2 linked regions of the Mytilus edulis genome follow. The protein of the gene in region 1 purifies or fractionates together with the protein of each later gene. This does not show direct contact. Links are inferred from orthologs where the notes say so. Each region holds a gene or a part of one and is shown in the gene's direction. Other genes may lie near its edges. The genes, in order: acidic fibroblast growth factor intracellular-binding protein-like and C2 domain-containing protein 5-like.

Region 1 (3,936 bases):
CTACATTAAAAAATGTCTGTATCAAGTCAGGAACATGACATTAGTTTGATATGTTTGGGCTTTTGATTTTCAAGCCATTTGATTCGGGACTTTCCGTTTTGAATTTTTCTCGGAGTTCAGAATTTGTGTGATTATGCTTTTTACATACACAAAATTTGGCATGTATATGTGAAAGACTTGGTAAATTTGAAGTATGATAAAAGAGTATCTACTTACGTGACAAAATTTGAATGAGCGTAAATAAGAGGGTGGTAATGGGTTATTTTCATGCAACGTTTTCGGCCTTTTTATTTCCTGTATTTTCTTTCATGTTTTGACGTTTTATTTCTCGTTTTCTCGTGTTTGGCTCGATTTGCGTGCTTCGTGTTTCCCTTTATCTATTTTCCGTGTTTCGTGTCTGTGCTCTTCATTTCTCGTGCATGTCACGCATTTGATTAAAAAGTCAGTGTGTTCATAGATGTAATCATCTATGGTGTGTTATACTGAATACCTTCGGAAATTTGTGATTGATTGATTGATTGTTGGTTGCTTAACGTCCAATCTAATCTGATAGTAATTTATGTATGTTGTTATCATTCTACTTTTGCAATATGTATGGTATCAATGAAGTCCATCAAATTACTATGAATGATTTTTTTTTCAAATAAGATGCAAGTAGCGGACGCTAAAAGATGACCGCAAGGTCTCCATGTCCATTGATAAAGGCTGCATAATCATCAAGAACAACTGAGTAATAACTTATAGTACTTTTTTTCCTTAATATTTATGATTTTATTTCTTGTGCTTCGTTTTTCCCAATTTTGATTTTTCGTGCAACGTTTTTGCGATTTTTGTTTCACGTGTTTTCGTGTTCAGTACCCCCTTTATAGTTACCACCCTCAAATAATAAAATTAAAAAATTTATAAACATAGAAATTCATTAATAAACATAGGTACTTGTGACACGATATTTGTTTAACCCTTCCTTTTAATTTTTTTTTTTTTTCAGATTTTGTTTGTTTGTTAATTTTGATTATTTTTGCGTTTTTAAATATAATAGAATGATGATTTGTTTGTCTATTTACAATCAATTTAAAATTTATTACCTACAGCAGTCACTGATATATTTTAAGGTGGTACCTAACACTACTGGGAGATAACTCTGTAAAGTCAGCTAAACGTTTTAATTACGTTGTGTTGTTAAAGGAATATTAAGCTTCTCAATGATCAAAATTGTTTTTTGTCAAAGTGCTATATAACCAGTGTAATTTTTCTGACAAAACAGTTGGTTCAAAAATTTTTAAATTTTTATATTTTTGTTTAAGGGTCTACTTTGACAAAATTTTATGAAAATTAAACGAGCCAAATTAATTTTAGTGAAAGTGTTGGGTACCACCTTAAACAAGTTTTTTCTGGTAAATTCTGATACAGAAAAGCGAAAAATAATCGAAATTTATATATAAAAAAAAGGGGGGATGGCTAAAAATTGTCCTGTTCCCAAGTACCTATTATTCTAGCGTGACTGTTGTTATCGAGGTAAAAATAAGTTTTTTCCATCAAATCCAAGTTATGGTTATTTCACTGCTGTTAATTTGATGTGAAGTGATGTTTTGATTTATTTCATGTGAAAATTCGGATGACAAGGGAGAAAACTTGGCTGTTACTGAATTGGATTATCTCCCGTGATACAACTATTTACCAAACTAATAAAAGAAGACCAACAGTCCCCGTGGAACCAAACTGTGGTTTGCAATGTGATTCAGTTATCGAAGACACATTTTTAGGTCGGTACGAAGAGAAATAATCTTATGCTGTCCTTTAGATAATGTCTATTTAATGATTTTATCCGAACTTTCATACTCATACTGTCAGTATCTATCTGATACAAATTTAGTGTCAGTGTCAACTCTTGATATTGATGATGAACTGACTGTCATACTCATGGGATACGCACAGCCAGACAACCTTGCATGGACGTTCCAGGGGGTCTGGAGGGGGGCCGGCCCACCCTTTAGTGCCAATTGTGGGGGAAAATTTGGTTGATTATTGAGGAAATCACTGAAGCATGACTGATAATTTTGATGATTCTGTAATATATGAATTCTGTTCTTGTAAAATTTGGTCATGAATTCATTGTTTTATTTGAGCAAGCATAGGTGTACAGGGGCGGATGCAGGAATTTTCGAAAGGGGGGGGTGCTAACCCAGGGCAAAGGGGGGGTGCAGGGGGGGTGCAAAACATATGTCCCGATACAAATGCATTGATCGGCAAAAATAAAGGGGGGGTGCGCACCCCCGGAACCCCCCCCCCCCTGGATCCGCCACTGGTGTAATAGGAACATTAAAAGATGTTAAATATGAAAAACACAGATTATGGATACATTTCTTCATATTACATGTCCATAGGTTGTTTTCTCTTGTTTGAATAAATATGTCATGAGCTAAGATTTTGTTAGATGAGATTAAATGATCTAAATATTTCATTGAAGACAACAAAATTTTAGCTTTTAAGGGGGGTAAATGATAGTGATTTGACAGAGGTCTCAAATATTATAATATTTATTGAAATAGTCAAATAATTTTTTTTCAATTTAAATATTTTTTTCAAAATCAATCAATATTTTGATTGTCTAGAAGAAAGTGTACATTTTATCATCATTCACCAAAAATAACCTAAAAACTTCATTTGGCCTGATTTTTACTGTTATTTTTCATGAAGGTACTCCCATTCTTGTATGTGTGTCAATCAAGTCTCTAAATAAACTGTTAAAAATGTCTAACCACAACACAAAAATCTGTGGTCTAACATAATTTTCTATGTACAGCCTGTTAATTTATATGTTGGAGCTGGGAACAGTATATCTATATCTTCCTGAACACGCTTGAAATATTTGCCACTGGATGTAAAGCAACCATCAATCAATCATTATATTTATATATATGTTCCTAGTTGGAGCCATAGTGTATTCAAATATGTTTGATTATGTGAAACACCTGAGAGTTAAGTAAGACATGACCTTAGACATTGAGTAGTCCAAGATTACTCTTGACGTCCAACGGCTGTGTATAGATATAGATAAATTACATTTTTAAATCATCATTTATATTTTTCAGGTTTTAAAAAAATTTGGTTATGGCAACATTAGATGTGTTTGTTGGAAACTTCACCATAATTGATTTTGAGCTGTATGATCTATGGCTTAATGGATTATCAGGTAATATTGTACATGTATAAAAAGATGATATTTTGTAATGGAAGGAAAAAAAAAAAAATCAAAACTTTTCATTTTCGATATACACAGACCAATTCTCAATCTTTCTTCTTTCCTGATAGATATTGAGTATGTATGGTTTAGGGGTGAAGATCTCGACCATTTCCAAGTTCTCAAACAGGAGGGGGTGGTCTACTCCAGGCACTCCCCCTATATTTCATTTGACATATTATATTGTCTCATACTTGAATTTATGGTTTAGGGGTGGGAATCTCGATGTTTCAAAGTTCCCAAACAGGAGGGGATGGGGTGACCTCAGGGACTCCCCCTATATTTCATTTGATAAGTTATGTTGTGCCATACATGTGTATGTATGGTTTAGGGGTTGGGATCTCATCCATTTCTGTGTTACCAAACAGGAGGGGTTAGGGTGACCTCAGGGACTCCCCCTATAGTTCATTTGATTTGTTATATACATGTAGTACAATACATGAGTATATATGGTTCAGGGGTAGGGATCTCGACCATTTCCAAGTTCTCAAACAGGAGGGTGTACAGTGACCACAGGGACCCCTATATTTCATTTGATTTATTATATTGTCCCATACTTGAATATATGGTTTAGGGCTGGGGATCTCGACCGTTTAAAAGTTCCCAAACAGGAGGTGGTGGTTTGACCCCAGGGAATCCCCCTATATTTCATTTGATTAGTTATATTGTCTCATACTTGAATACATATGGTTTAG
Region 2 (3,936 bases), on another chromosome or scaffold:
TTATTAACGATCAATTCTTCACTTTATTATATATACAGGCATTATTTACTTTTCATAAACTTTTTTTTATAACTTTCATGGGTGGGTATTTAGCTAGCCAGATATTATATTCAGAACGTGAACATGCTTAATGAGAAATGTAAACTACGATGAAATAAATTGAATCTAAAAAAAGAAGATGTGGTATGATTGCCAATGACTCTCCACAAGATACCAAACGACACAGAAAATAACTATAGAGGTCACTGTACGGCCTTCAACAATGGGCAAATCCCATATCGTATAGGCAGCAATTAAAGACGGGTTAAAGAGACCGGGGCAACATCTTATACCTCTTATAGAGTTACATATATGATAAATGCATATTATTTTTACAAGCACTAATTCTATCAAGAACTGCATACGAATAGGCAGCCTCTCAGCTATAGATGGCCCTAGGATTCATTTCTGTTATATCACAATTGAAGCTACAAAAAAAAAGAATATACGAATTCCTTCAGAGAAAAACACCAACATATATCATCTAGAGGTGACCACATGGTCCCAAACACAGTTGATACTATGTATGATCATTTTTGGGCCAATTATATAGCATAATATAAAAGTGCAAGTATATTACGTCGACATAATGTGATATTTACGTTGTAGAAACGTAATTTAACGTCACCACAACGTTAATGTATGATGTTGTGATAACGTGATATAAACGTTGTAATGTCAGGAATAACATTGTAGAAACGTAATTTTACGTCACCACAACGTTGATGTATGACGTTGTGACAACATAGATATAACGTGATATAAACGTTGTTGTAATGTCAGGAATAACGTTGTAGAAACGTAATTTTACGTCACCACAACGTTAATGTACGACGTTGTGACAACGTCAAGAAAACCCTACACTTTTATGTAAATACAACGTAATAACCTGACGTCAATGCGACGAAAACATGACATTGTCACGACGTAATTATGACGTAACATTGTTAGCTGGGTTACTGTACATGTTTTTTATGATAAGGTGTGGGAACAGGGTCAAAAATGCAAAACAAACACGTAAAAGTAAAAGCAAGAGCTATTTCATCAGCATAAAAATATTTTTACCATCACAATCGAACAGAAAGTTATCGATACTATCAATTATTTTCCTGGCAATCGCTCTGTCAACTTTTCTGCATGCCATAATTATTGACCTTTCCGATTCAGTAAATCTTCTATGTGGAGTCTAGAAAATAAAAAAGACTATTTCAAAATGTACTATTTATCTTTATGAAAATTAATGATCATTCATTCAAATGATTGACAGCAGTGGCGACATTTCTATAACACCAGTTAAATTAAATTCATTCAAAAATAAATTATTTTGTACAATGAAAGGTAAATCAGGAGAAATTATAGTATTGTGAAAGTGTACTTTGAGATGACATTCTTAAAAATTTTCCATTCGGAACGTACATCTCTTATTAATAAATAATTCAAAATGGCTTTACAAGCGAGCACATGCAGACGAAACTCTTTCTTCGTTTAGTTGATTCACTTGCGAAAGAATAGTTACTTCAGGTTTTAATTTTCATCATAACTTCACCATCAATTAGTTGGTATAACATGCAACGATTCAGAATAGCTGTCAATGTGTGTTTGTCAGTAGTGTATGTCAACAATCTTGAAATAATCATTTGTACAAAAAAAATGTAATCACATACATCAGCCCCAGAAATATATTGGTTTGTCAAACAGGCTGCTTTAGAGACCTAACAAAAGTTGTCAACAAACTATTATTCCTCTGAATAAATACCGGATAATCTGAATAAATACCTGATCACCTGATAACTAGTATCCAACTACATACATGTGACAGAGTTGTCAAGCCACAACTGGAGATTTGGAAATTTTCAGCTGGAGTTTAGGTCTCAAAACTGGAGATTTATTATCGACCTTTTATCGACGTACGCAATGATTTTTTTGTGTGTTTAAACTGCATATCTTCCTTTTTTTTTTTGGTTAAAGGAACAATAATTCCATACCTGTCAACACCTGATACTTGATAAAAATAGAAGATAAGGGGTTTTCAAAAATTTATTCATTATGTATAATTCAAAATAAAGTGATCAGCCATCATACATAGTTGGCAAAAAGTATCTCTGATAAAGCTAAATTGTCAACTTTGGTACCACTACTGGCTTGTAACAGAAGGTGTTAAATTGATAGATATGTAGGCTTGCTGGTTGGTAGCTGTCTCCATAAGTGTGGTCAAGTCATTGGGGCCATCATAGTCAGCTTTGCATGAAGTGTAGTAAGCATGGTCTTGACCCTTGGTACTGGATCTGCACCATTTGAAATCAAATCTCAAGACAGAGTTGAATTGGGCTAGATACTTGGTCTTCTTTTATTTGCTGCTGGGATTTGGTGATAAAAAACAGTTTGCATTTTGTCAAATTCAAAAATTTCCAAGACAACTATACTTATATAGGTATTCCATTGGCTTGGATAGAGAACTAGCCATAAATATCATATTTGAGTTGATTTCATTTGTCTTTGAGGTTCAGTAAATGTTCCATGTTTTCAACAGCATCACATAGTGAATTGCATCGTTGTTTATACAACTTGTACAATTAGTCAATTTAATCCTTTGTCAGTATTAACTATTTCACTTTTAATCAACCAGGCTTGTGTCTTAGACTAGCTAGTTGTCACCAGGTAATTGCCTATTATCTTTAATTTATTGCTGTATAAACAGTTTAATCCTAAACACCTTGGGCTGATTTTACCTATTTTATGATTTTGACACAACAGGCAATTTCCGTTTTTCTCGGACTTTTCCCATATCAATTTCGAGTTTCTCGGACTTTTTCTCTGTCCCTATCGATTTTGTAAACAAAAATGTGTATTGAAAATTTTACGAGGTTGACATTTTCAAAAGCGGAAGATTTCAAATTTTAACGGGAGGGACGGAAGAGGGTCTGAAAAGCGGGAGATTTTGACTCCCGCCGGAAGAATCACATGTATGCAACTATTGAATTAAAACAAGCACCTGCCAGATATTATATACTCCAGTTGTGATTAAGAATAAAACTTGATCACAACACGCATTGTTGGATTCAATATCAGGCCTCGACAATAACGCTTGTCCGATTGTCTGGTACCAGAGGGAAAAAAGGTCGGACAAGTAAAAGCTGTATCAAGCTTGTCCGTCGGGACAAGTACAATTATTCAGCAGAAAATAAATTTAATCCAACTTTGATGAACAATAATTATAAACAAAAAACAAGAAAACAAATATTAGTTTGACATGTTTCTGCATTCTGTTTATTCAAATGCAAAACCTTTTTCTTCAACATGTGTACTTGTTGCAATCGATAATTTTTAACTGATTCTTTGTCGGGTAGTTTTTAACAGGTTAAATGTATACTATTCTCGGAAACCAGTCTTACTGATCCGAATCAATGATGTGCTTTGTAGATAAGGTAACTTTACAGGACAATTCGTCACCTCGACAGGTTTAGCTCCAAGTTTAATAGACAGTTTGGCACCGTAGGAGACATATTTAGTAGACATGATTGATAGACAGTTTGACAAGGCAGGAGACATTTTGGGACCAAGACTAATCAGTACCTCATTTTGCTACCTTATTCTGTTCCATATAACAAACACCATACTGGTAATTTTTTCACAAAATTTCTTTTTTTTTTATTTACCATTAAATTCACAAAATCATATTTAATCATAAGTAGAAAAAAACAATACTGACAATATCGTGACCTATAGTCGTTAATTTCGGTGTCATTTGGTCTCTTGCAGAGAGTTGTCTCATTGGCAATCATACCTTATCTTCTTCTTTTTATTGATTGCATTTCAATAAACTTTTTTCAACTGAAAAAAAAAACAGGATTATACAAATCCAATGAGTGTACAGGCCTATCAGATGATGCCTCATGT

The links.
Region 2: the proteins of acidic fibroblast growth factor intracellular-binding protein-like (region 1) and C2 domain-containing protein 5-like purify together in Homo sapiens (affinity purification with mass spectrometry; 3 studies listed by BioGRID and IntAct, counting the BioPlex papers as one, with this or other methods). This does not show direct contact. The link is inferred for Mytilus edulis from reciprocal best matches to the Homo sapiens genes FIBP and C2CD5.

What each region holds. Positions count from the first base shown.
Region 1 is NC_092346.1:70,087,762-70,091,697, reverse strand, and holds the start of acidic fibroblast growth factor intracellular-binding protein-like, read left to right. Parts: upstream 1-1,477; 5' UTR 1,478-1,763; exon of another isoform or gene 1,764-1,767; intron 1,768-3,092; 5' UTR 3,093-3,111; coding exon 3,112-3,193; intron 3,194-3,936. UniProt on the Homo sapiens protein: May be involved in mitogenic function of FGF1. May mediate with IER2 FGF-signaling in the establishment of laterality in the embryo.
Region 2 is NC_092350.1:79,274,810-79,278,745, forward strand, and holds the start of C2 domain-containing protein 5-like, read left to right. Parts: upstream 1-1,474; 5' UTR 1,475-1,560; intron 1,561-3,936. Other genes in the region: glycerol-3-phosphate phosphatase-like, read right to left, coding at 1,105-1,183. UniProt on the Homo sapiens protein: Required for insulin-stimulated glucose transport and glucose transporter SLC2A4/GLUT4 translocation from intracellular glucose storage vesicle (GSV) to the plasma membrane (PM) in adipocytes.